Linked DNA regions of Callithrix jacchus. The protein of the gene in region 4 purifies or fractionates together with the protein of the main gene of each other region. This does not show direct contact. Links are inferred from orthologs where the notes say so. Each region holds a gene or a part of one and is shown on either strand. Other genes may lie near its edges.

Region 1 (3,500 bases), on a different chromosome or scaffold from region 4:
CCTAATGGCAGTGTTCTAGAAAGAGAATAGCAAGTATCACGTGACAACTAAAATGGGAGGGTAAAGCACGGCATTGAGCCACTGTAGAAGGTGGTGTTGACCCTGGCTTCTTTGATCCCTCCTCGGGCCCCCTGCCTTGGTGGAAGTGAAACAGCTGGGTGCCACAGGACCATCTCTGCAGCTGGGCCTCTGCAATCACCCCTGCAGTTATCACCTGGAAAGATTCGCTAAGCAAAGTCTAACACTGCAACCAGACACCCAACTTCCAATCTCTTTCCACAGGAAAATCCATGATTGCATGAAATGATTTTATTAGCCGTAGCAGTCACTGTGGCTGTGGCTTTAAATAAGCCAAGGGGATGTACAATTGATTTTTAAAGTAAACTGGAAAATATAGCGGTTTTCAAACGGAGGGATAATCACCAAGGCAGGATATTTTCTCAACCCTTGTTGAGACTCTTAAAAACAATTTGTTTTCTTTCATATTAAAAGAGAGAAAAATTGACGTTTTTACTGATGAGTCTCTTTTGGAGTTTTCCCCAAGGATGCATCTGATGAAAAATCCTTTATTAGGAAAATGTCTCCTAGGAAGAACACAGTGTCAGTTTCTGAGAAAGCTCTGCCATGGGACCGAGGGGAGTTAGAAGGCTTCGGTGAGTGACTGTCTTCATGACTGGTGCCGAATTGTTTGTTGTTATTGTGGTAAGATACCCATGACATAAAATTTGCCATTTTAGCCATTTTTTAGGGGACAATTTGGTGGCCTTAATCACATCAACACAGCGGACAACCATCACCATGATGTATTTCTGAAACATTTCCATTGCCCCAAACTGGAAGTCCGTACCCCTTAAGCACTAACTCTCCACTCCTCCCTCCCTCTAGCCCCTGGTACCCTCCTCTCTCTCTCTCAATCTTTCTCTCTCTCTCTTCCTCCCTCCCTTCCTTCTTTCCACATGGAGGTTTGCTCTACTTGTACTTTCTTTTTTTTTTTTTTTTTGAGATGGAGTCTTGCTCTGTCACCCAGGCTGGAGTGCAGTGGTGTGATCTCAGCTCACTGCAACCTCCTCCTCCCAGGTTCAAGTGATTCTCCTGTCTCAGCCTCCTGAATAGCTGGGATTACAGGCACACGCCACCATGCCCAGCTAATTTTTGTATTTTTAGTAGAGATGGGGTTTTACCATGTTGACTGGCTTGTCTGGAACTCCTGACCTCAGGTGATCTGCCTGCCTCGGCTCCCAAAGTGCTGGGATTACAGGCTTGAGCTACGGCACCTGACCTGTCCTCTTACTTTCTGTGTCTGTGAACTTGCCTTAGATATGTCACTGAGGTGGAGTCACATAAGATTTGTCCCTCTGTGAATGATCTGTGTCACTCGGGATCACGGTGAGTTTCGTCCATACTGTAGCACATGTCAGAACCTCACTCCTTTCTCCAGCTGAGGAATATTCTATTGCATGGACATTTCTTTGGATGTACGTTTTGTTAATCTGGCCATCAGTCGATGGACATTTGGGTTGTGTTCACTTATTGGCTCTTGTGAAAAATACTGCTATGAATATGAAGTATCTGTTTGAGTCCCTGTGTTTAGTTCTCTGCAGTGCAGGTTGAGGAGTAGGACTGCTGGTTCATATTACCGTATGGTTATTCCACGTGGAACTTTGGAGGAACCAGCAATTTGTTTTCTACAGCAGTGATGGTGCCTTATGGTTTTAAATATTAAAATAGACTTTAAACACATTTTTAGAAAAATCATGTAGTAATACTGCAAGGATGTGAGGATGCACCCTCCAGAGACAGACCCAGTGCCCAGAAAGCTCTCGGCCTACTCAATTAAACTCACGCATCCATGCTTGAAGCCAGACTCCCTACCACCTGACAGTCTCCAGAAGCATGATTGCTCCCCTTTAAGCAGGAGGAAAATCAGGTGCAGAGGACAATCTCTCACTGCCTTGCACAACCCTTGCCACAGGGCACAGAGCTCTCCTGCCTTTGACCCCTTCCTGTGCCATAGGAAGGAGAGTAGGCTCCCTGGTTTTGCTGTCACCCTCACCCCCAGCACCTTCTCCCTGCCAAGATTTCTCCTCTCTGCTGGCTCTGAATTTGGTGGTGAAAAGCTGGTTACCACTTAGAGTAGGTTGAGTAGAGTCTTCAAAACGTGGACCTCTTAGGGCCACCCAGAACCTCAGAATGTAACCTTACTTGGACTTAGGGTCTTTGCAGATGTAATAAGCTAAGGATCTCAAGGTGAGATCATCCTGGATTTGCAGTGGACCCTATATCCAATGACTGGTGTCCTTATAAGAGGAGAGGGCACAGAGAAGAAGGCCACGTGAAGACGGGCAGAGAGGGGAGTGGTGTGGCCACAGCCAAGGAAGGCTAGGGACTGCTAGGAGCCACCAGAAGCTGGAGAGAGGCCTGGGACAGGCTCTCCCTTGGAGCCAACAGAGGTAACCAACTTGCCACCTCCTTGATTTCAGAGTTCTGGCCTCCAAAACCTTCAGAGAACAAATTTCTACTGTTTTGAGCCACCAGTTTTGTGGCAACTTCTTGGGTAATTTAAAAATTGGTCAAAACTAGAAAATTAAGCTATGCTCCTTGGCTGTTGTAAACTGCCTGGAGTGCTTCTCCAGTGCACTGTCCTAGACACAGGCAGGCCCACGGCCTCCTGCAGCTGTGTCCTGGAATAGGAAGTGGAGTGGTCCCATGTGTCCCAGTTTCCCTCCCCACGGATCCTGGGACAGACCCTGCACTTTCTGCCCCTCCAGCGCTGGAGACCTTGGCTCTGGGCTTTGGCCTGATGTGCAGAAGTCCAGACTCTACAGTCTGTTCCCAGGAAGCCAGGAGCTTATCCAAACTCCCTCCCTCTGCTGAAAGGGGAGTGAGGAGATGCTTCTAACCTGAGAGCCTTCAGTCAAGGGACGCACAAAGCAACAGCACGATACGTATGAGGGGAGGTTCCACTTACTCGACTGCACACTGAAGCTCAGCTTGGCCCTTGGTGTAACCGGAGGGGGTGTGTGCTGGGAGGACGGTGATGAGGGGGACACCGAGAAGCGCCTTTCACTTCCAATGATGTTGATCACCTGGCTCTTCGGTCTCTGGGGCCGCAGGGGACTTATCTACATTGAAAGGACAGAAAGAGCACAGTTAGGGTGCTGAGTGCGTTTCCACCTACATTCCTATATTGAAGTCCTGACCCCCATTACCTTAGAATATGACATTATCTGGAAATACAGTCTTTGCAAATGATCAAGCTAAGGCATAGCCCTTACGCTGGGCCCGTAGGGGGCCCAGGGGGAGCAAACTCTGGAAAATCTCATGCCCCAGACACTTCCCCGAAACACACATGCTAGGTGTGGCAGAGAGGAAGAGAATACCCAGGCAGGAGGCAGTACCCTGAAATGGCCCATAAGACACCTGGTAATTGCTCCCTCTGCAGCTAAGCTGTTAGAATGGAGCTAGCTACACGCTGATCAGGAGGGAATCCGGGCAAGGGG
Region 2 (3,500 bases), on a different chromosome or scaffold from region 4:
TGTTTTGTCAATACAAAAATATTTAAAGGAGAGAAACTAAGGAAGAGTCTCCGTGATGCTTAGGGCTGTGCCAGGCAGAGACCTGAGACAAAGAAACGCAGATCGAGGCCACATCTCAGGCGGGAGACGGACAGAGAGACCCAAGTCACAAGGAAGGCGGATGGGGTGCACGCCGCCAGGGAGGCAGGGAAAAACGACCCCACTGGGGAAAAAGTGGTGTGGGGGCTCTGGGGGTGCCCTGGATGATGTCACTGAAGGGGAGCCCAGGGTTCAAAGGGGTTCAAAGGGATGCAAAGGGGCTGTCGGGGCAGAAAGCAGAACTGAGCCCTTTCCCTGAAGCGCACCCCTTTCCCAGGAGGAAACTGTAGCCCCACAATGCCCAGCCCCACAGGAAACCACGTGATGGAAAAAACACAAAACTCCTTCTGGGGAGAGAGTGAGAAGTGAGGTTGTGAGGTTTCCTCAGCCCAGGGGTGGCGGAGGGGCAAATTTTCCAACCGCAGGGATCGGGGGAAGGAGGGGAGGACCAGTCTGTCCCAACCCATCTTATCCCTGCCCAGAGGTGACTCCAGCCAACAGACACCCCCCCACCCCCCGCAGAACCTCCAGATCTTACTGGGCTGCTTCAGCCCACCACTTGGGGACAGGCTAGGACCCCAGGCAGCGGGTAGGAGGCTGAGCCCCTTTCCTTAGGCCCCAGGATGAGGAAGTCTCCATGCAAATGTCAGGCTGACCACAGGAAGCACAGAGCCACCGAGGGATAGATGCAAATTCCCACAGAGAAGGAGGCAGCACAGACACAGCAGGGGACAAGGCAGGGACAAGGCAGAACCTCAGAGAAAGAACCTCTCACACTCCAGGCTCAGGGGTGACACTGGCTCCTGGGATGGGTTACCTGAAAAGGCCTCCAGTATGGCTTCCCTGGTCTTAACCTCTTAACTTCCCACCCCAGCACTGCCCTCCCTTCCTTGTCTCTCTTCTCTCTTCTCTTTGAAAGCGGGTCTCAGCCTCCTCTGCAGGGGCCTCCTGGGGCCCTGCTCCTCTCGTCCCCTCTAGGCACTGGTCAGCCCATCCTCTTCCTCCTGGCCTGAGGCAAGGAGAAAGGACATGAGCTTCAGAGGCCCCCCAAGTGTCACGGTGGGGAAGAGGAAGGGCAGGGGGCAGACACGGAGCCAGCCACATGAGGCTCATGGAGAGGAAGAAGGCCGTGAAGGAAGCTGACCAGGGAAAGAGGTCTCCCAGGCAGGCCACAGAGCAATTCTGCAACCTCATTCAGCTCTAAGATTCAGTCAGTGACTTCACCAAAAATACTGATGGCAGTTTGGAGGCCAGAACCCCAGAAAGGCTGCAAGCTGGCGCTTTAACAACCCATCCTCCAGCACAGGGCAAGGGCAGGTGGGCTTGGCCCCAGGGGTCCATGTGAAAACCCCTTGTGTTATTCCACTGCCCTTTACTCTAAGAGGATCTGGCACTGAAAGGAGCCAGGGTGTCCTGAGGAGATTTCAGAGCCCCCTGGCCCCTGCCCATGCCTTTGGGAGCCCACAGGGACAGTGGCCAGCCCAGCTCTGGGGACCACACCTTTGAGCAGAGGGGACAGGAAGGAAATGCCTGGAGTGTTTGTGCTCAGGACAGTGTGAGCCCCTTTCCACATGTGAACACTCCACGGCTGCTGGGTGGCTGAGATAAGGCGTCAAGTGTCCTGGCAAGCGTTCGTCCCCATCCTCATTCCTAGTGTCAACTCCTAACGCGTGCTGGCCATGGGTGAGGGGAAGACGGAGGAGGGCACTCTCACTTCCACAGGAGGAAGAACTTTCTAACAACAGAGCTGGCCCACATGACATGCCAGCCGCCAGCGGTAGCCTCCCTGTCTCTAGTGGGACCTGGGTTGCAGTGGCCAGGGCCCCTGGAGTAGGGCAAGGCAGCCTTCTCTGGCTTCCTCGGGGTTAGGTGGAAAGGGTGGTAGGTTAAGCTCTGAGACACCAGGCTGCAGGAGGAAGGACGCTGAGAGCCCCAGCTGGTGCAGGAAGGGAAGGGGAGGGAGGGCAGGCAGTGCTGGGTGCCAGGCTCCCTGCCTCCCGGGCCATTGGGGTTGGGAGCCGGCTTGCCCCAGCTTGGGAGAGGCAGGGTGCGGAACCCTCACCTCTCACTAGTGGGGTCGGAGCAGTTCAGCGGGTACTTGAGGTGGATGATGGTGCCGTCACGATCCTGCAGGACGCCCTGCTGCTGAGTGTAGTACTCCACCAGCTCCGTCAGCGTGGCGAACTTCTCCCCTCCATACAGGTCGTAGAAATCCCCTGAGTTCTGGATCCGAATATGGGTCACCTGATCCCCCACCCTGCAGGGCACCAGGTGGTGAGGCCAGTAGGTGCAGGAGTAGAGGCAGGAGGGCAGGGATCGGCAGAGGTCCTGGGTGGGGGCACAGACAGGGATGGGGAGCACGGGGGTTGGGGGATGAGGACACAGACCAGGCGTGGGGGCTGGGGAGTTGGCATTGCCGCGGAGAACCAGGAATGTGTGGTTCAGGGCCTGGACGGCACGAGAGCGGCCAAATGCTAGGGAGGGCCACCAACCTGACAGAGAGCGAGAAGTCACCCTGGTTCTTGCGACTGGGCCGAGCCAGGAAGCTGCCATGGACACCTCGGCCCTTGAGCAGGGTCTCTGCATCCAGCCCACTGAGGTCTCGGTGAAACCACCTGAGTGGCCCAAGCAGGGCAGTGAGGAGGGGTCCTGTGGGCACTGGGCACCCTTGCCTCCTGCCTACTGAGGATGGCAGGCTCTTACCTCACCATCCTGGGGGCTTCCGGAGAGGGAGGGGGCGCAGGGAATGAGGCGACGCAGCTAGTCTGGGCAGGCAGAGAACTCGTGGACTAAGCCTCAAACGTGGCTCCCAGTGCCAAGCTGCCTCACCAGCCCCGGTGGTCCCAGTTCTGGAGCTGCCACTCCACTGGCCTAGGGCAGCCGGCAGGGCGGGGACAGGAAGAGGCGCGGCCGACCCCTTGGGGGAACTCACTTGTACTTCTCATTTTAGAGTAGAGCAAGGGAAGAGAAGCAGAGTATGGTGGCACTGGGGGTGGGGACGGGGCCCACTTCCCACATGTCTGCAATCAAAGGCTCAGGAGCATGGCCATGCACGTATGTGACACCACATGCAGTAAGGACACATATGTGCCTTGCACACTAAAAGCCCAGCTCATACTTCACGTATGTGAACCTACACGGTCACACGGCACCTCTTCCTCCTCCACCTGCTGCTTTTACACAGTCCTCCCTGGCCCACACTAATAACAATGATGGCAGTGACAGCTGTCATCGAGTGAGTCCTGCTGGATGCCAGGCGCTGTGCTATAATGGTGCTCATATGCCTCGTCTGAATAGTTTCTCACCACAGCCCTATGAAACAGGGGGTCTGTTTATCCTCATTTGACAGACAAGAAACCTGAGGCCCAGGGAGTTCAAGGCATTGCCCAAGTCCATCAGTGAGTCAGCTGCAGCGCCAGGAT
Region 3 (3,500 bases), on a different chromosome or scaffold from region 4:
TACTAATTCAAAATGTGCTGACTTTTTTTTAAAGGCTTAACTAGCAGCCACAAAGTACAATAGGAATCATGTTTTGAACTTCTCTGCCAAATTCTGAGAATGTATTTTAAAGCTATTGTTTCATGCTGATTAAAAGGAAGAAGTTAATCCTCTTAGCCCTTATTCCTAATTTCATGATAAGTACACCTAGTAATCCTGGGTATGTTCCTTAGACTTTCTTCAGCCTTTAGGTCTCAACCAGAAAATGTTTCCAGACTATCTCAAAAGGACCTGGGAGGGTGAATAAGATGGTATGCAGTGGGATTCTTATTTAGGAGAGATTCTGAACATTGGTCTTAATGCACACAAACCCCACCAGGACGTCAGTTCACTCTAATTGGTGGGAAGCAAAGTGCTCTAGAGAGGTGTTGGTCCCCACGGACCCCTCCACCTACTGTTATCTGAATATAGCAAGTTGAACTCAACCAAAAAAATGGACATGCTTGGGTCTGTGGAGCTGGGGACAAATCTCTTTTTTCATAAATGTTTATTTTTAAGCCCAAGAAGTGTATAGATATATAATATTTATATACAAATGTATATTTTTTAACATGACAAACCCAGACTTCCATTCCAAATACGATTCTTGGGATGAAGGGTCTGAAAATATTCCCATGATCCTAGATTGTCAGGCTATGAAATACTTTCCCCTAAGCTCCAAGCTTAATAGAGAATAGTCAGACTACAAAAGTGCCACAAGAACACTCCATGGTAGGAAAATGGGGGGAGGCAATATGAAAGAGAATCCCCCAGGAGGAGGCCTTGAAGGTCATGTAACCTCATTCTTTTGGTTCTCTTAGGCTACAGAGGGATGGAATGTAGGCAGAGGGTAACCAGAGACTTGGGTCCCATTTGTGCAGTGCAACCATGGCATGCAGGAAGGGTGGTGTCCACAGAGACACTACAATGGGCAACCTGTCTAGAACACCCACCACCATCCCCATGCAAGGGGTGTGACTCTCCCAGCTCCCAGCATGTCCCATGTGCACAAGAGGCTGCTCCTCCTTCATTCAACGAGTATTTGTTTAGAGCCTATAGCAAGCCAGCCACCCAGGAACAGTTCCAGCCCTCACTGAGCGGACAGCCTAGCAAAGAAGACAGACACAGCTGAGGAGTGCTAGGACAGTGGCACCCAACGTGCTGGTGGTCGGGGGGTGCAAAGCAGGTAAATGGAACCTACTGGAGGTTTGGAGAAGGCCTTCCAGAGGAAGTGCTACCTAAGCTGCTACAGGAAGTGAGAGAAGTTAGCCAGGTGAACAGCAACCAAGTCAGGGAGAAAGAACTGTCTTTCCATGAGTCTGTGGCAAGAGACAGGTGAAAAAAGCTCATACCTCATGCAGAGCAAAGCACAGAACAGCCAAGAAGGGGTGTGGAGAGAGATGAGGGCTTGTTTACAGATTAAGCAGTTCAGATTTTATCTAGAAGGCAAGTGGGAACCTCCCTTGACAGAGTATATAGATTACCCGTTTCTCATACTATCCCTGTAAGGAATAATCATAACAAGCTCCACTGGCTTACGCCGAACTGATTTAAAATCGCTCATTGCCTACTCCTCCGAAAGCCACCACATGTGTTTTCAGAAGGGAGTAAAGTATTCAGATTTGTAATTTAGAAGAATGAGGCTACCCAGTGAAGAATGAGTCCTTATCCAAGGAGAGGTTATGGAGAAGGGACCCAGAAGAGTCCCGGCGGAAAGTAAATGCATATGTTGACAGGATGTTGATTTCCTGAGGTTTGACTGTCGACTTACTTGTCATCATGTCTTCCTCTTCCAGCTGGTTGATTCCGAAGAGGTGCAGTCCACTTGCGGGGATATTGTTCTTCAGGGATTCGGTTAGCAGTTTATCAAGGGTCTCTGTGTTGTAGGGCACAATTTTAAAGGCCTGAATACAAAAGTGAAGATGGTCAGATGTGAAATCCAGTTCTCTCCCATTCCACAGATTCAAGACTGATAGGCCTTGAGCAGAAATTACATGCCCAGAAAGCTCAGGTTTCGTTGCAGTATCCTTACCTGACACATGAATTCCACAGGATTCGCAGCATTGGACAATAAATTCCCAATTTCTTCCATGTCAGTATAATAGCTGATAACAGTTTCACACACCACTAAGTCCCCAGAATATATCTTCAGAGAAACATTCCCAGATGAAAGGTCTGAACAGAAGAAAAGATAATATCAAAATTCCCAGGAAAAAAAAGCATCCAGGGAAAAGTGGCTGTGGATATACACACTCCACCTGAGTGGCAAGGACACTAACTGGGGCCTGGAAGAAAGATCTTGGAAGTGAGCTGGGGCTGCAGTGAGGGAAAGGGTGGAGGTGAGCTGGGGTGGGAGTGAGGGAAAGGGTGGAGGTGAGCTGGGGTGGGAGTGAGGGAAAGGGTGGAGGTGAGCTGGGGTGGGAGTGAGGGATAGGGTGGAGGTGAGCTGGGGTGGGAGTGAGGGAAAGGGTGGAGGTGAGCTGGGGTGGGAGTGAGGGAAAGGATGGAGGTGAGCTGGGGTGGGAGTGAGGGAAAGGGTGGAGGTGAGCTGGGGTGGGAGTGAGGGATAGGGTGGAGGTGGGCTGGGGGGGATGAGGGCAAGGGTGGAGGTGAGCTGGGGTGGGAGTGAGGGATAGGGTGGAGGTGAGCTGGGGTGGGAGTGAGGGAAAGGGTGGAGGTGAGCTGGGGTGGGAGTGAGGGAAAGGGTGGAGGTGAGCTGGGGTGGGAGTGAGGGATAGGGTGGAGATGAGCTGGGGTGGGAGTGAGGGAAAGGGTGGAGGTGAGCTGGGGTGGGAGTGAGGGAAAGGATGGAGGTGAGCTGGGGTGGGAGTGAGGGAAAGGGTGGAGGTGAGCTGGGGTGGGAGTGAGGGATAGGGTGGAGGTGGGCTGGGGGGGATGAGGGCAAGGGTGGAGGTGAGCTGGGGTGAGGGTGAGGGAACAGGTGTAGGTGAGCTGGGGTGGGATGAGGGAACAGGTGGAGGTAGCAGGTGAGTAAACCAGCACATGTTAGGGCTGTGGGCCACAGCAATTTTCATTGGGTTTGCAACTTAATTTTCAAAAAATTTTCATCATTTTACTCACTAGTGTAGGGCCCAGTACCTCAATGAACTGGAAGAAAATTCGGGTTTAAGGCACTTTACACAAAGGCCAGTGGTCACAGAAGGAGGGAAAATCATGGGAGGTGAAACTGTGTCTCTGCCACATTGGGCGGGCTGAATTGGTTCACTGCAAGTCATGAGCTGCTGTCATGACGACGTGCTGTCCCTGGGGCGGGATGCTATACCACAGGAAGGGGTTTTGAGGGGGAAAGAGAAAATTAAAAATAACACCAACCACAGAGATTCACAAAAGAGGAAATGCGACAACAGAGACCATGGAAAAATATTCACCCACACTAATAATCAAAGAAGTGCATATGAAAACGATGGACTACTCTCCAAAAAGTATCAAATTAGCAAACACATTTAAAATGGTAATACCTG
Region 4 (3,931 bases):
CTCAAAAGCCACTTGGTAATGGCGGAGACTTCCTCTGAATTAAGCAGTTAAGAATTAATTTCTCTCAGGAGAGCATGGTGACTCTATTCTGTATTACTTCCTTTCTCCAAAATCCTTTGCTCTTCTGTTCTATGCAACAATTAGAACTCCAATGCACAATATGCAACATAACAGGAATTACTGAAAAGAATCTCTAAGTACCAGCAACTGGTAGTACTTAAAACCCAGCAAACCTCTCAAATCGGAATAACTTGCTGACAAGTTAAGTGCCTCAAACATTTAAATGTCTGAGTTTAGGCTCCGCACAGGAGCTCACACCTGTAATTTCAGTACTTAGGGAGGCTGAGGCAGGCAGATCACTTGAGGTTAGGAGTTCGAGACCAGCGCGGCCAACATGGTGAAACCCCGTCTCCACCAAATACAAAAATTAGCCAGGTGTGGTGGTGAGAGCCTGTAATCCTAGCTACTTGGGAAGGTGAGGCACAAGAGTGCTTGAACCCAGGAGGTGGAGGCTGCAGTGAACCGAGATCCTCAGCACCACTCACTCCAGCCTGTGCAAGAGTGAGACTCGTCTCAGATAGATAAATAAATAAATACATACATACATACATACATACTAGGAGATAGCTGATCATAAGAATTAACTCTTTTAAATCTTGAGATTGGGAACATTTTGAACTTGGGAAGGAGCAAATAGAGATTTCTTTGTCAAAAACAACAACGAAGGCCAGTTATAATAGATGCAGAAAAAAGATCCCTGATTTTTAACTAAAAGCCTAACAAAGAATAAATTAGTACTACTACAACGCGCAGGCTTCAACTAATTCGATGGTCTAAATCAGTTCTAGCCTCTTACATTTTTCAGACTATTTTAACCTAATATAGACTTATAGTTGACCTTCACTTTTTAACATTAACACCCCCCACTAAAAGTCAAAAAGTCACATAAGCCCTGAGCTGACCCAATATTCCTTACTATTATAAAGACATACTGGAAGAAAGCATAAATAGGTACAAAAGCATAATCTTAAAAAACTAAAACACAAAACAACAAACAAACCACACTTGTAACCTAGTGGCAGGACTGAATTCTTAGGGATTAATTCAATCTTTTTTTTGAGACGGAGTCTCGCTCTGTCGCCAGGCTGAAGTGCAGTGGTGCGATCTGAGCTCACTGCAATCTCCGTCTCCCGGGTTGAAGCGATTTTTCTGCCTCAGCCTCGAGTAGCTGGGACTACAGGCGCGCGCCACCACACCCAGGTAATTTTTTTATTTTTAGTACAGGCGGGATTTCACCATGTTGGCCAGGATGGTCTGGATCTCTTGACAAAGTGCTGGGATTACAGGCGGGAGCCACCGCACCCGGCTGAATTCAATCTTTTGAGCCCCCCACCCCCTTCTCAGCGGGGGAACCTCAGCCTCCAATGGCTCTCTAGCAACCCTTCTGGCTGACTAGCGAACGCAGGGGAAAGCGCAAAAGTAAAGGCACCAAAGCAGGAAAGAGGATCTCTTCCCGAGAAAAAGGACGGAATCTTGAAATCAGAGAAAACTAACAGTGCGAAAGGGAAGAAACCTCGAAAAATTACGCCAGAGTGGGGACTACCAAGGAGGAAGGGGAAGTAGATTAGAAAAAAAAAAGAGGGGGGTGGGGGAAGGAAGGGGCAAATGACTTGCATTACACAAGCACTTCTTGTCCCTAGTGGAATGGACAGAAGTAGATAGAGAGGTAAGGAAATAACTGGAGAAGTACTGAGTGAAAGAGGGGTTAAGAAAGCCAGGGACTAATGCTGATTTCTCTCATGTGTCTGACATTTCTGAAAGTCAACAGCATCAAGAAGAGACACACCTCAAATGCACTTCAGTCCTCTGCAAACTGCACTTTCATAGCCTTTGAAGCCAGGCTTGAAAAACTTTCCAAACAAGCCATAACTCATATGTGGTTTACAATCACAGAGAGGGCGCGCTGCAAATGAAAATTACCAGCGCCCGCTCTCGCCGCAATGTTTCCTCGGTGCAGTCCAACCTGCTGCTGCTTAATTTTTCAAATAATTTTTTTTTAAGTCTCAGAATAAAGACATCTCCCCCGGGGAGATGAACGTTCTACCCCACCGTGGATTCCCGCACAAAATTAAGCCCAAAGACGCCAAGAGATGGTGACGTGGTTGTCATGCAGGTCGGAGGCGCATCAATCACCACAGCTGCAGCCCACACCAAGTCCCCCGCCGCCGGGATCGGGCGGACTGACTCAGTCGGGGTTTTGCCCTTCCGGGCTTCCCAGGCCCCTTTCGTGCAAACCCTTCCGACGAAGGCAGGGGACTTCACGAGGGAGCCCCGACTTCTACCCCCGGGCTCCCGGACACTGCACAGACAGCCGAGAGCCGGAGGAGGACGTTCCCCAGGAAGGAAGCGCCCCAAAAGGGGAAACGCAGAGTCCAGAGCCTTGGGCATTCCACTCCGCGTCCCGAGCTTCGCCGCCCCGACCCGACCCCAAGGGCCGGGGTCCCGGTTCCCCCAGGGCCCACTCCCGTCGCAGAGCGGAGAGGAAGAGACACAGGAGCGGCGCCGAGCGCAGCCGCCCGCACTCACCGTGGCGCAGCTAGTCCGCTCCGCGTCGGGCCTGACCCACCTCAACGCTGAGAGCGGCCGCCGACCCCGAGGCTGCTCCGCGAGGGCGGCGCTTGCTCCCGCCGCCGTCACGGTCACAGACACAGAAACAGACACAGACACAGCCTCAGCCACAGCCGCCGCCGCCGCCGCCGCCGCCGCCCGGTCGCCGAAGCAGCAGAGCCGCCTCGCTTCCGCTCGCCGTGGGTGTCCCGCGAGAACTTCTCCACGAGGCCCCGCCCCGCCCCGCCCCCGCGAGACTTCCCCCGGCGGAAAACGCCCAAAGCGCAAGCGCTCCTCCTGGGCCGGGCTCCGGCAGGTAGTGACTAGCTAGGCCCCAGGGCGCATGCGCCAGACCGCCCGCAGCAGGTGGCCTCGTCACGGCTCCGCCCCTGGGTCGCCGTAACCCTCTCGGTACCAGAGCGGGTAAATAACAGCTTAGTCCTGAAGGAATAAATTCTTACCCCGTCTAATCACTTTCTTTTCTCCTCTACCAAACCAAGGCAATTGGATATGGATGGGGGCTGGGGGGAGGAAGAGAGTTTCCAGCCTGAAGCACTCCAAACAGAAGACCAGGTCTTGAAATATTTGAGAATCCGTACAAACTCTGCAATGTTGAATGATTGGTGGGTTTGTTTACTCATTTATTTAATTATGTGCCTAATATAGGCTGAACACTGTGCTGGATATAGAACAGAAATCCTGGTCCTTAAGGAATTTACGGTCTAGGGAAGCAGAGAAAAATAAACAAATAATGCCATAAGTACTGTTATTTGGAGTTTGCTGAGAAAGCTAAAAAGATGGAAGAAGAATGGCTACTCTGCCCATTGCAAAAGAGCCTTTACAGAGGTGATGCGGCGATGTCTAAGCTGAGTCTTGGGGGATGAGTAGGAGTTTGCCAGGCAGAGAAGCCAGAGTAAGGGCATTTCAGGGAAAGGGAATGGCACGTAAGTACAGAGGCTAAGTACAGCGGAACGGAGGCGTGAAAGTCGTGTGCTGTGCAGTGCTAAGTAGTTCAATTCCTGTATGAGGCCGGTGAGTATGGGGGAGTGGCAGAAGATGAGGCTTCGGTAAATAATTCTTGTTTTTCAGTTATCAAAGCTCTTTCCAATTAAAGGATAGAACAGAACACACCTAGTGTTAATGTGTCTTCTGGAAGCCAAAAAAATAGCGTTGAGATGAGAATAACCAAGCATCTGATTGTACAGAGGAAACAAGCCCATTGAAACACAGAAAATGAGCCGGGCACGGTGGCTCAAGCCTGTAATCCCGGCACTTTGGGAGGCCGAGGCGGGTGGATCATGAGGTCAAGAGATCGAGACCATCC
Region 5 (3,500 bases), on a different chromosome or scaffold from region 4:
GCTCCAGGCAGCTGGGTTCTGAACATCTCCATCTGCTTATGCTACTCCTTTGAATTTCAAATAGCAAGACTCATACCCACTGTGGATAAAAAGTGATCTGGAAGGAGCTGTGGAAAGGCATAGAAATTAAGTTAACAGAGAGCTGCTTTAGATACCCTGAGGCTGGGCTCAGACTGTTCCATCCATGGTGAACTAATTCCTAAGTACAATACTTGTCAGATTCACTGAGCCAGAGCCCTTCGGACCAGGGTTCTGTGCCTATACGTGATAGATGTACCAGGGTCCCGGAAGTACCCCAGGGTAAGGGATAACTTTGTCCTAAGTTATTTTGAATCTCAGCAACTTGCCACACAAGAATCTATCTGGGCCGGGCGCAGTGGCTCACACCTGTAATCAATCCCAGCACTTTGGGAGGCCGAGGTGGGTGGATCACGAGGTCAAGAGATCAAGAGATCAAAACCATCCTGGTCAACATGGTGAAACCCTGTCTCTACTAAAAATACAAAAAATTAGCTGGGCATGGTGGCGCGTGCCTGTAATCCCAGCTACTCAGGAGGCTGAGGCAGGAGAATTGCCTGATCCCAGGAGGATCACTTGCAATGATCCCTGGAGGAACATTGCACTCCAGCCTGGGTAACAAGAGCAAAACTCCATATAAAAAAAAAAAGAACCTATCTGAACCTTTTTCCTATTGATGTTTTCAACATTCTAATCATGAGGTGTAATGTTTCATGTTTGTTCTGTTGGGTGACACAGTACAAAAGAATGAACAATTTTTGATAATTTTAGGGAATTGTGACCGTCTTGGGCTGCTGGTGCTAAGAGTCGGAAGTGACTACTTCATGTTGGTCTCCCCCAACCTCATCACAAACACGCATTCATAGATCCAGAGTTCTCAGCTAGGGCTACACGTTAGAATCTCCTGGGGAGTTTTTAAAAAAATGCCATTACCCTACCACAGAACAATTAAATCACACTCTCTTGAGAGTACTTGAGCTTCAGTACTTTTTAAAATTCCCCCAGTGTTGTGCTAATGTTGCAGCTGGGGTTGAGAACCACTGGGCCAGACTGACCTTATCATTACAAGCATTTACTGAGTGCTTCTCAACTTGGCTCATGTCGTGGCTTCTAGAGAAAAGAGTACCAGCACTGAAGAAAGTGGAGGCACTAGCTCGGAGATCCTATGTGACTTCCTGAGGGCCGAGGGGAAGCAATATTTTGGCACACCTGTAAGACATCAGGTAGCCGAGTCTCACCTGTTGGCAAGCTTTCTTTTGTTGTATATATTGGTGTATTTTGGGAGGACCCTAGTGCTGAGTAATTACAAGGTCCGTTTAACAGGGCTCTGTGGTACTTTCCATTTATAGTTTTATCGAGGTGTAATTGACATGTAATAAAATATACATATTGAAAGCGTTTGGTAAGTTTTGCCATGTGAGTATACCAATGAAGGCATGACCACAATCAAGATAATGAACATATCACCTCCAAAGCTTCCCTTGTGTCCCTTTGTAACCCATTCTTCTTTCCACTCCGTCCCCAAGATACCACTGATCTGCTTTCTGTCATTATAGATGAGCTTGCATTTTCCAGAATTTTATATAAATGGAATCATACATACTCATACTCTTGTCCGGCATCTTTTACAGGCATGGTGGCTCATGCCTGTAATCCCAGCACTTTGGGAGGCCGAGGCAGTGGATCACTTGCGGTCAAGAGTTTGAAACAAATCTGGCTAACATGGCAAAACCCCGTCTCTACTAAAAATACAAAAAGTAGCCGGGTATGGTGGTGGGTGCCTGTATTCCCAGCTACTTGGGAGGGTGAGGCAGGAGAATGACTTGAACCTGAGAGGTTGAGGTTGCAGTGAGCTGAGATCGCGCCATTGCACTCCAGCCTGGGCGACAGAGCAAGACTCAGTCTCAAACAAACAAACAAAAAAAGGTGCCTCTCTCTCTCTTCTTGGGGCACAAATGACAGAGGTGAGTATAGGGATTCGGGCACAGAGATGAGACATGTAGAGATGAATGAATGGGTAGCTGGATATAATAAATAGGGAACGTTGTCTTGGTATTCCTTTTTTCCTCCATCTTTCTGTATTTTCGGTTTGTTGTAGACACCAAAGAAGCAGGCATTGGCCCAGATTATGTCACCTAAAGTGGATTAATAGTAAATCTCTCTTTATGACTGACAGATATTTTTACCCCTCACCTGCAGGTGCCCAGACACCATGTCACAACCCTCCAGAACTGAGGTTGGCAGGAAGTAGAGGCTTCTTTGTCTCCTGTGTTCCCCACCCTCACCATGTCTTCGACTCAGGGCAATGGGGAACACTGGAAGTCCCTGGAGTCTGTGGGCATCAGCCGCAAAGAGCTGGCGATGGCCGAAGCCCTGCAGATGGAGTATGATGCCCTGTCCCGGCTCCGGCATGACAAGAAGGAGAGCAGAGCCAAGCAGAACGCAGACCCCTCTCTCATCAGCTGGGATGAGCCTGGGGTAGACTTCTATAGCAAGTCAGCAGGAAGGCGGACTGACCTCAAGCTGTTACGCGGTCTCTCTGGCTCTGATCCTACCCTCAACTACAACTCACTCTCCCCACAGGAAGGGCTGCCCAACCACTCTACCTCCCAAGGGCCCCAGCCTGGCCCAGATCCCTGGCCCAAAGGCTCCCTGTCTGGAGACTATCTCTACATTTTTGATGGTTCAGATGGGGGAGTCTCTTTGTCCCCAGGACCAGGAGACATAGAGGGCTCTTGCAAGAAACTATCCCCACCTCCTCTGCCTCCCCGAACCTCTATCTGGGATACCCCTCCCCTGCCTCCCAGAAAGGGGTCCCCGTCATCCTCTAAGATCTCCCAGCCCAATGACATCAACACTTTCTCTTCGGTCGAACAATTGCCAGGAAAACTGCTACGGAATCAGATCCTGGAAGAGGAAGAGGTGCCAGGAGGTGGGGGTCAGGGCCACCTGCTGGGGTCTGTGGACTATGATGGCATCAACGATGCAATTACAAGGCTCAACTTGAAGTCAACCTATGATGCGGAGATGTTGCGGGATGCCACCAGGGGCTGGAAGGAGGGCCGAGGGACCCTGGACTTCAGCAAAGACACCTCTGGAAAACCTGTGGCCCGGAGCAAGACTATGCCCCCTCAGGTGCCCCCCCGCACCTATGCCTCCCGCTATGCCAACCGAAAGAATGGGACACCTGGCAAGAACCGCCGGATTTCTGCAGCTCCGGTGAGGACCTTCATGTGTTTCTCCTGTCTTCTTTCTCCATGTCCTTTAGAAACAGGGACTAGTCTCTCTGCTGTTCCACATCCTACTCTGCCAAGTCCTTACCCTTTTAGGCTTCTCCTACCCTCTTTTTCTGCCACTGGGACCCTGGCGCTGGTGGGGAAGGTCCAAGGGAGGCTTGATTAGGGGTGGATACCAGTAGAGAAAGGTCTTCTTTTCATGGCCAGTTTTCACATATCTTGGCCAAAACGGCCTTTCTGGGGGCA
Region 6 (4,097 bases), on a different chromosome or scaffold from region 4:
TAGAAAAGTCAGGGGGTAGTTGGAAAAAATGTCTATACATCTATACAGGGAAAGTTGAGAAAGTAAAAATTAGCCATCACTTAGGTGTAGACAACTAACACAAACCCAGCTGGTTGCAAAGTTAACAGGAAATAAAATTTCTTCCATGGACAGACTGCAGCTGTAAAGGGTGACGGTAACCCCTTTTGTGAGTAACTTCTGCTCTCTTTCTCTAAAATCGTAGCCTGTCAGAAACTCCGCTGTTCAAAATTATATTACAAAGGAAACATCCGCTCTTACTTGAAGAACCTTTATTTTGATCGATATGATTGAAAATTCAGTAAAATCTTGCTATTTTAGACTCCCTTAAGGGAGAGGAACTGCCCTTCTAATTACTGGAAAGTGTGAGGTATTGAGCAATATGAATGCACTTTGCTTTCAAAAGCAAACCATAGTTCAGTGGAGTCTAATACAGACTGAGTCCATCATCTCCAGCTCTAAAAAACTCTGAAAAACAAGCCTTTTTTTTCTTTTTGGTAAATTTTAGAGAAGCTCTTGTAGTGATACCACCTGCTCTAAACAGACACACAGCTATTTATAGTCTTCATTTTTCCACTTACTGAGAATATGCATGTTGTTAAATGTGAAAGTGCAGAAATATTAATGCGTGGAATTACAGGATTCTCTCCAGACTATACTGGAATGGCAAGTAATCAGCAGCATCAACATGTGTGTTTACCTCCCTAAATTCTGAGCGATGTCTTTCTCAATTCTAAAATTTAGTTCTATATTTTAATTCCAAATTCGGAAAAAGCTTGAATTCCAAAATACACTTTGGCACAAGCATGCTGGATAATAACCATGGGCAAACAATGTGCTAAATAAGTGAAGTTCTACTAAGAAGACATCAGTTTAAAAAACAGAATGATTAGACCTGCATTTAGAATATATATAGGGGCCTAACAAAGATCAAGGCAAATCATTTCTCAAGTGCAAATCTAGCAATAAAATAATGTTTCTACCAATTTCATCTCTCAGGAAAGGTAAAGACCTAAAGTATACACCCCATCTTTATCCTAGCTTAAAGCATTCTGGTTATTAAGACTATTCTAAAATCCTATTGTATATTTCACTTCAAATACAGAGGCTTTTAAAAAAAGTCTCCCCACGATACCTCAGTAGAAAAAAAATCTCTTTTTTCCTAGTGTTCAAATCCAAGGAAGAAGAGTAAGAGGATAAGACACAAATCAAGCAATTTGATTATAATCTCTCATTCAAATACACTTCAAAGTGCACTTCAAATACAGGGGGTAAGACAAATAAGTTTCTATTTTAATGCAAGATTTTTCTAAGTACATTAAAAGTGCCATTCGGATAGAACAAAGTGATTTGATAAAATAATTTTCACTGACAAAGATTTCTCACTTTAAACACTTAATAATTTACATGTATTTAAACCTTTTAGCTCAAATGTAATTCTATCTATGCACTGCTCAGACTTTCATTGGGGAGAAGGACATCAATGTATTTAGTTGCATTCAATCAAAATGCTGCCTGTGTAAAGGCAATGAATTTGTCCCTACTAAGACGAAGTCAGATTCTAGAATCAATTCAATTCCTTCCAGGAATTCTCAGGGATTAAAAGATTCCTTTTTTATTTTTTAATATGAAGAATCAGATATGGCATATCTCCAACTCCTTGTTTTGCTACAGACTGCAATGCTTTGAAGGTTAAAAAAGAAGAAGACGAAAAAGAAAAACTTCCAGTCAACAGTTCTACTTGAGTTCAACTGAATCTTCGGTAAGTCAGGCAAAACTCATAAAATATTTTGCAACAGCGTTTCCAACGTAAAAAAAGATTCTAACTCCCACTTCTCCAATTGTCTTTCTAGTCCCTGAACGTTGAAAAAACCAAAGAAGCTATCGCATTTGTATAGTTTTCAGGTAGGCTTAAGGTTTTGGAGCTGTATTGCCAAAAACAAACAAAAACAAAACCAAAAAACAAAGAATCACCTTACCTCTTAACTCAAGTTTACATTTTACTACGTAAAACTTTCTTGCTCTCCAGGTTCATTGGCTAAGTAAATTACTTGACAATGAAAATGTATTCACCAGAGTAATTATGCTAAATTTTAGTAGTGGTTCAGAAAGTTTGGTGTTTGAATGCAACTGCTGTTTCTTTCTGCAGTAAAACATTTGTCTTAGCTTATAAGACATCTGGACATTTCTACATTGAGTCACTTTGATCAATACTGCGGCATTTCCCCCATGGATTGGTGTAAATGGACAAAGGACACTGTTCTAGCTCCAAGATCAAATTCCTCGCTCTGTGCCTCATCCCAGCCTCGCGTCTCCCCCGGCGGGGCCGCGACCGCACTTTCCGCGCTCTAGTCCAGGGTCACTTTCCGCAGGTTCAGACCTCTGTCCCCTCCGCCCAGGCCCGGGCCCCTCTCCCGGCGCAGCTTCTGGATCCCGAGAGCCGGCAGATTCAGGAGCGAGGCTGGCGGACCCCACCGTATTTATTCACGTAGTTTCAGCACTTTTCCCTCCGCAGTGAAGGCCCTGCGGGCACCTTCCCGGTGTGACTGGGCACACGAGAAAGGCAGAACAAGAAAGGGCATGAACGCGGCGCGTCATCCCCCGAAACCCCCTCCGCTCACCAGAAAATTCTCACCGGGGAGGCGACGCGGCCACACCTACCTGCGCCAGGTGAGGCAAGGACTGGCGCTTGGGCGCAGCCGGGGCTCAGCCGGGGCGCAGCGCGGGGCCGCCAGCTCCTCCTCGCTCTTCTGCCGCCCGGGGTGGCCTCAGCCGCCCGGCTGCGGCGCTTCCTCATTTTGGGCAACTTCCTTAACGCGCCCGGGCAGGCGGCCCGCACTTCCTCCCGATGTCGCGCCCCGCCGCCTGGCCCGCCCTGCTGACCGCGCCCGTGCGCCCGGAGCTGGGCGGGCACGGGCTGGAGCGCTGGGCCGGCCCGCGGGATCCGCCTAGGCGGCTGCACCGGCAGAGGAATCCAGGTGCGGCGCGCCGCTCTCCTCCCGCCGGGTAAGGGCCCTTCGCAGGCAGGGAAGGTGGGACTGCCCGCGACCCGAACCACATCGGTTGCCCTCATCCCCGCCAGCGCGGTAACTTCTCTTACTGCCCAGGACCCAGGAACACTCAGCGGCCCTTTCCATTTGCTGTGCAGCAAATGGGGTAGAGACTCCACTGCAGGGCATAGTCCCTGGAGGGGGTATCTGGGTCACCAAGCCAACAGGCTGCAAGCCACCGTGCTGGAGCACTCAGGAGGCCGGGGCAGTGCTGAGGGGCCCGGTAGGTGAACAACAGACTTCACGGAGCACTAGTGGGCAATGGAGCGCGCTGCTTCTGAGGGCTTATTACTAAAGACTGCTTTCTTTGTAACACGACGGCTCTGACGTCTACAGCCAAATAAATTAAACGTAATCCTTTCCTATAGTCCTAAAAACGGTGTTGACTTATCTGCCTGATACACTTCTCTCAATTATCCTCCTTTTCCTGTTGGACATTCCTCTTTAAAATGTTCCCACAAAAACGGTATCCAGACCTTCTTGATAAAACCGATTGGCAGCGTCTGTTTTAAAAAGCTTTACCCTGAGCCAAAATGCGAGAAGCAAAATAAAATACGTATAATGTGCTGGATTGTAATTGCCATGGAGAAATTATAAAGATGGGACTGTTTATACTTAATGGAGCCCTCAGCCTTTTCTGTTTCCAGCGTTATTAGATTTTAATTCATTTTTGCAATTAATTTTTTAAACCTGTTAAAACTTCAACTGAATTACATTTAAATCAGTTTAATTGAGAAATGAATGATTTGGGAATGGGGTAGCTTCCAGAATCAAAGCAGATTCAGAGACTCCAGGGATGCCTCATGGTCAGAACAAATTCACAGACAAAAAAAGAGGAAGATATGGACAGAAATCAGAAGTGAAGTAGAGAAACAGCTGAATTGGTTACAAGTTGGCGTTTGCCTTGTTTGAATACTTAGCAGTTTATGAGTGTTTGAAGTATGGCCGCTGGGATTGGCCAAGACTCAGCTGTTGTTACAGGCCTCATACTCCTAAGTTAGATTTTCAGTCTTGCCTGCCTGTTAAAGC
Region 7 (3,500 bases), on a different chromosome or scaffold from region 4:
GTTCTGGACACGCTGGGACTTAATGAGCTGGCGGACTAGGGCATGGAGGACAGGTCACATGGGCCTGTGCCCCTAGGCCGGGGGCTCCCCCCTGCTCACCCCTCCCAGGTCTGGCCCTGGCTCACTGCGGTCATGCGTGAAAGTGGTCCAGTCCTCCTGGGAGTCCCGCTGTCTCCGCAGCAGCACTAGCCGCCCACCCTCCACATCCACGCTCAGCGTGAACTTCTGCGACTTCCCGATCTTGGTCAGGTCACCCAGGGTCACATCTAGTTTCACCTGCAAGCCAGGTGGGAAGCTGCTGACAAGACCTTGGGGCAGGCAGCACCCCAGTCCCCTCCAACCGCCCTTTGCCCCATGAGGCCCCACTGCCATGTACCTCAAAGGCCTGCACAGGGATGGTCTTGGCCTTACGTGTGGATGGCTGCAGAGCCGGGGGTGCTGTGGAGCTCATGTCCTGTAGGGCCTTCAGGGCCTGGAGGGAACAAGGGCAGCGTGAAGTCAAGGGACACCCTGACTGAAGCCTGGGGCAGGGAGGGACACAACTGATGCTGGGGCCAATGTTAAGTTGTAGACTCAAGGTTGAGATCAGTGCTAAGCTAATGACAGTGGCCAGTGAATCGGCAGACAAGGGTCAGAGGTCATGCCACCTTCTTCTGGATGCCTGACAGGAAGTCCTTTAGCACTGACAGCTTCAGCACCAGGCTCTCTAGTTCCTGCTCCCCTGTCTGTGGCAGGTTCTGGTAGGGGGAGAAAGAACTAGGCTTGTATAACAGTCACCTAAGCAGAGCCTCCCAGGCAGCTCCAGAACATGAGCCCACCTCCCAGGGGTCTCCCTACAATCCCACCTGCTGCTGCAAAAGGCGCGTCACCATGGGGGAGCTCTGCTGGTCAAACACCTTGGACAGGATCTCCAGGCCTGACAGGACCTTGTCCACCTCACTAGGGGAGACATCAGGTCAGAAGAATTCCCACCCAGACCTAAGTACAGGGAAGGGGGCGCTGGGTGTAGCCTCCACCTCACCACAAGGATAAAGGGTACCAGGTGAGGAAGGTCAGCAAGCAGTGGCTAGTTGACTGTTCAGGGTCAGAGGTTAGGGCACCTATACAGCCAGGGAGCAGGCAAGCACAGGTCAGAAGTAAGGGTAATGCATGGGGCTGGATGTCCCAGATACCTGTGTAGCCTCCGACATGAGGTGGCGAGGGTACGGGTGAGGTGGGGCAAGTGGCTGGCTCCACCCCGCACAGCCTCCAGGTCCAGCCCGTAGCTGCCTTTCAGGTACTCGTGTGAGACGGTGCTTAGCCCATTGGGAGCACTTTGGGAAGGGGTAAAGAAGTCAGTGGAGGTCCTGCTGTCCTGTCCCAGCACCCCTGCCCCATCCCTAGAAGAGACAGTATTTGTGGCAACCAGGGCGGGATGAATCAGGGTGGTGTGGGGGTCCTTGGTGAGGGCTTAGAAGGCCTCTCCACCTTTAGTAGGAAAACAGTTCTCAGAGGAGAAAGGATCTCCTGCTCAGTGGATAGGGTAGGGGTCTCACCTCTCAGCAGCTGGAGTTGTGGGAGTCTCAGGGGTTGGCAGGGGACTGCTGGGCCCAGTGTGGGCAGAAATGCTGGTAGAGCCAGAGCGCGGGGGCAGCGGGGGCTTCTCGTCCTCCCCATCTGTGGGCAGGGGTCAGTGGGCAGCTGTCTGGGCCTCCCACACACGGTGGAGTAGGAGGCATAATGCAGCTGTAAAGTGACTTTATGGAAAGAGGGATAAAGGGCGCCAGCATCATGACCACAGGCAAGGGGGCTACAGGAGAGGTAGGGTTGAGAATCGGGGATGGGAAGAGGCAGGGAGAACCAAGGGACAGGGGCAGGGAGGGGACCCACACATTAGTACCTGAGGCATCCCGGTCATCTGGAGGGTCCGGTTCCCGCTCCCCCTCTACAGGAAGCAGCAGGGCACATACAAGGCCCTGGTTAGGCTGGGCATACAGGCCAATGAGCTCACCCAGGGTCTGGAAGCGGCGCACAGGCACACCCTGCGAGGTCTGTGGGCCAGCAAAGGTGGGAGGAAGGGTCAGCCAGCTGGTCCCAAACCCTAAGCTGGATCAAGGTCAGGGGTCAGGGGTCCAAGGTCCTACCTGCACAGCCAAGAAATCTTCTCCATCAGGCAGAATTCGATATGTGTGCACATGCTTCTGATACCTACACCAAGGCAGGGCCAGAATCTGTCACCCCCAGGCTGGGGTCTAAGACCCAAAGCACCCCTTCTTCCTGCCAGCAAGCTCAGCATCCCAATGCCCTCAGCTTGGTTTCCCTAAACCCACCTGCCCAGACTGCACAGGGTTAATGATGGGCTGGTCCACTTCCACCCTCCTAGTGTTGCCAATAAGGGCAGGAATGACCAGAACACCCCCCTCTCCCCACCAGACCTACAGACTCCACACCCACCACAGGGCAGGGCCCAGGAAGCAACAGGCAGCTCTTTTGTAGCCTCCACAGCTGTCTAAACAGCCCCTCTGGGCTGTGGTACCAGTCTGGGCCCCCCGCCAGAGTGAGTCTTCAGAAGCCTGGTTAGCCTGTACAACCTGTGGTTGTACACACAGGTAACATGCTAATATGTGTGTGCCTCCTGTGTTTATGCTGCTGTCTGGCTCTGCCGGAGTCAGGTATGTCTAGGGTAGTTCTGTCAAGGAGTGTGGGGGCATCACCCTAGGCTTTCCCACCGAAGAAGGCCCCCATGGGAGACCTGGGCCTCTAGGAGCCCCAAGCCAAGGAGGGGCAAGAGGGGTGCTGACAGACGGCAGCCACAGCAGAACAGGTGACAGCTGAGCCAGGTGCATACTCAGTGGGGGAAGATCCTCTGCCTCCACACCTCAGGGCGTGTTTCCCCCCAGGAGTTACCCAGGAGGAGTCACTCTCCGTGTTGGGCAGGAGGGAGGTAAGGACCCCCCAACACCATGGCCCCCTCAGGGGCTCTCCTGTCTGCTTATGCTGGGTGTCTGCCTGTGACCGGGTGTTCCTTGGTAGACTGTTATAAACACTGTCTGTGTTTATTGCAATAGCATACCATTGACTGAATCCTATCTGTGACAGGCTGGGTACCCAGTGTCCTATAGATCTTATTTAATTCTCACATTTTTAAGTAGACATTATTATCCCCATTTTCCAGCTAAGGAAACAGGCCCAAAGAGGGAAAGTGATTTGCCTAAGGTCACAGGGTAAGTGAAAGGTCAAGTTGGGATTTTAAACCATGGCAGAAGCCAGAGCGGTATCCTGGCCTACTGGTCAGATTGCCTGTGCCTGCTGGGGCAGGGGCGTGTCTTGCATGTTATCCATGAGCACCTGCAATGTATACAGGTAAGCAAGTGTGTGTGTATTAAGCAAATCTAAGATATTGCCCTCATCTGATTGCCGACATTTGATCCTTACTCCCAGGCTCTTGAAATTCAGGGAGGAGCCAGTCAGCTGGCAAACCTGAATCCCCCACTCACAGTGAGACCCCCTCACCCCATTCA

The links.
Region 1: the proteins of GRB2 (region 4) and DOCK1 purify together in Homo sapiens (affinity purification with mass spectrometry; 5 studies listed by BioGRID and IntAct, counting the BioPlex papers as one, with this or other methods). This does not show direct contact. The link is inferred for Callithrix jacchus from reciprocal best matches to the Homo sapiens genes GRB2 and DOCK1.
Region 2: the proteins of GRB2 (region 4) and PTPN6 purify together in Homo sapiens (affinity purification with western blotting; 4 studies listed by BioGRID and IntAct, with this or other methods). This does not show direct contact. The link is inferred for Callithrix jacchus from reciprocal best matches to the Homo sapiens genes GRB2 and PTPN6.
Region 3: the proteins of GRB2 (region 4) and PIK3AP1 purify together in Homo sapiens (co-immunoprecipitation; 4 studies listed by BioGRID and IntAct, counting the BioPlex papers as one, with this or other methods). This does not show direct contact. The link is inferred for Callithrix jacchus from reciprocal best matches to the Homo sapiens genes GRB2 and PIK3AP1.
Region 5: the proteins of GRB2 (region 4) and PIK3C2B purify together in Homo sapiens (affinity purification with mass spectrometry; 5 studies listed by BioGRID and IntAct, counting the BioPlex papers as one, with this or other methods). This does not show direct contact. The link is inferred for Callithrix jacchus from reciprocal best matches to the Homo sapiens genes GRB2 and PIK3C2B.
Region 6: the proteins of GRB2 (region 4) and SYK purify together in Homo sapiens (affinity purification with western blotting; 3 studies listed by BioGRID, with this or other methods). This does not show direct contact. The link is inferred for Callithrix jacchus from reciprocal best matches to the Homo sapiens genes GRB2 and SYK.
Region 7: the proteins of GRB2 (region 4) and INPPL1 purify together in Homo sapiens (affinity purification with mass spectrometry; 3 studies listed by BioGRID and IntAct, with this or other methods). This does not show direct contact. The link is inferred for Callithrix jacchus from reciprocal best matches to the Homo sapiens genes GRB2 and INPPL1.

The regions. Positions count from the first base shown.
Region 1 is NC_133513.1:120,762,035-120,765,534, reverse strand, and holds part of DOCK1 (dedicator of cytokinesis protein 1), read right to left. Parts: intron 3,123-3,500; coding exon 2,969-3,122; intron 1-2,968. UniProt on the Homo sapiens protein: Involved in cytoskeletal rearrangements required for phagocytosis of apoptotic cells and cell motility. Along with DOCK1, mediates CRK/CRKL regulation of epithelial and endothelial cell spreading and migration on type IV collagen.
Region 2 is NC_133510.1:21,218,675-21,222,174, reverse strand, and holds part of PTPN6 (tyrosine-protein phosphatase non-receptor type 6), read right to left. Parts: intron 2,947-3,500; exon of another isoform or gene 2,790-2,946; coding exon of another isoform or gene 2,782-2,789; intron 2,694-2,781; coding exon 2,571-2,693; intron 2,407-2,570; exon of another isoform or gene 2,336-2,406; coding exon 2,141-2,335; intron 1-2,140. UniProt on the Homo sapiens protein: Tyrosine phosphatase enzyme that plays important roles in controlling immune signaling pathways and fundamental physiological processes such as hematopoiesis.
Region 3 is NC_133513.1:89,501,165-89,504,664, forward strand, and holds part of PIK3AP1 (phosphoinositide 3-kinase adapter protein 1), read right to left. Parts: intron 2,194-3,500; coding exon 2,051-2,193; intron 1,923-2,050; coding exon 1,790-1,922; intron 1-1,789. UniProt on the Homo sapiens protein: Signaling adapter that contributes to B-cell development by linking B-cell receptor (BCR) signaling to the phosphoinositide 3-kinase (PI3K)-Akt signaling pathway.
Region 4 is NC_133506.1:131,303,794-131,307,724, forward strand, and holds the start of GRB2 (growth factor receptor-bound protein 2), read right to left. Parts: upstream 2,801-3,931; 5' UTR 2,587-2,800; intron 1-2,586. UniProt on the Homo sapiens protein: Non-enzymatic adapter protein that plays a pivotal role in precisely regulated signaling cascades from cell surface receptors to cellular responses, including signaling transduction and gene expression.
Region 5 is NC_133520.1:31,754,113-31,757,612, reverse strand, and holds part of PIK3C2B (phosphatidylinositol 4-phosphate 3-kinase C2 domain-containing subunit beta), read left to right. Parts: intron 1-2,217; 5' UTR 2,218-2,304; coding exon 2,305-3,237; intron 3,238-3,500. UniProt on the Homo sapiens protein: Phosphorylates PtdIns and PtdIns4P with a preference for PtdIns. Does not phosphorylate PtdIns(4,5)P2. May be involved in EGF and PDGF signaling cascades.
Region 6 is NC_133502.1:74,892,307-74,896,403, forward strand, and holds the start of SYK (tyrosine-protein kinase SYK), read right to left. Parts: upstream 2,801-4,097; 5' UTR 2,680-2,800; intron 1-2,679. UniProt on the Homo sapiens protein: Non-receptor tyrosine kinase which mediates signal transduction downstream of a variety of transmembrane receptors including classical immunoreceptors like the B-cell receptor (BCR).
Region 7 is NC_133511.1:68,736,320-68,739,819, forward strand, and holds part of INPPL1 (phosphatidylinositol 3,4,5-trisphosphate 5-phosphatase 2), read right to left. Parts: intron 2,188-3,500; coding exon 2,124-2,187; intron 2,031-2,123; coding exon 1,880-2,030; intron 1,657-1,879; coding exon 1,536-1,656; intron 1,314-1,535; coding exon 1,173-1,313; intron 940-1,172; coding exon 846-939; intron 738-845; coding exon 648-737; intron 473-647; coding exon 377-472; intron 277-376; coding exon 126-276; intron 36-125; coding exon 1-35. UniProt on the Homo sapiens protein: Phosphatidylinositol (PtdIns) phosphatase that specifically hydrolyzes the 5-phosphate of phosphatidylinositol-3,4,5-trisphosphate (PtdIns(3,4,5)P3) to produce PtdIns(3,4)P2, thereby negatively regulating the PI3K (phosphoinositide 3-kinase) pathways.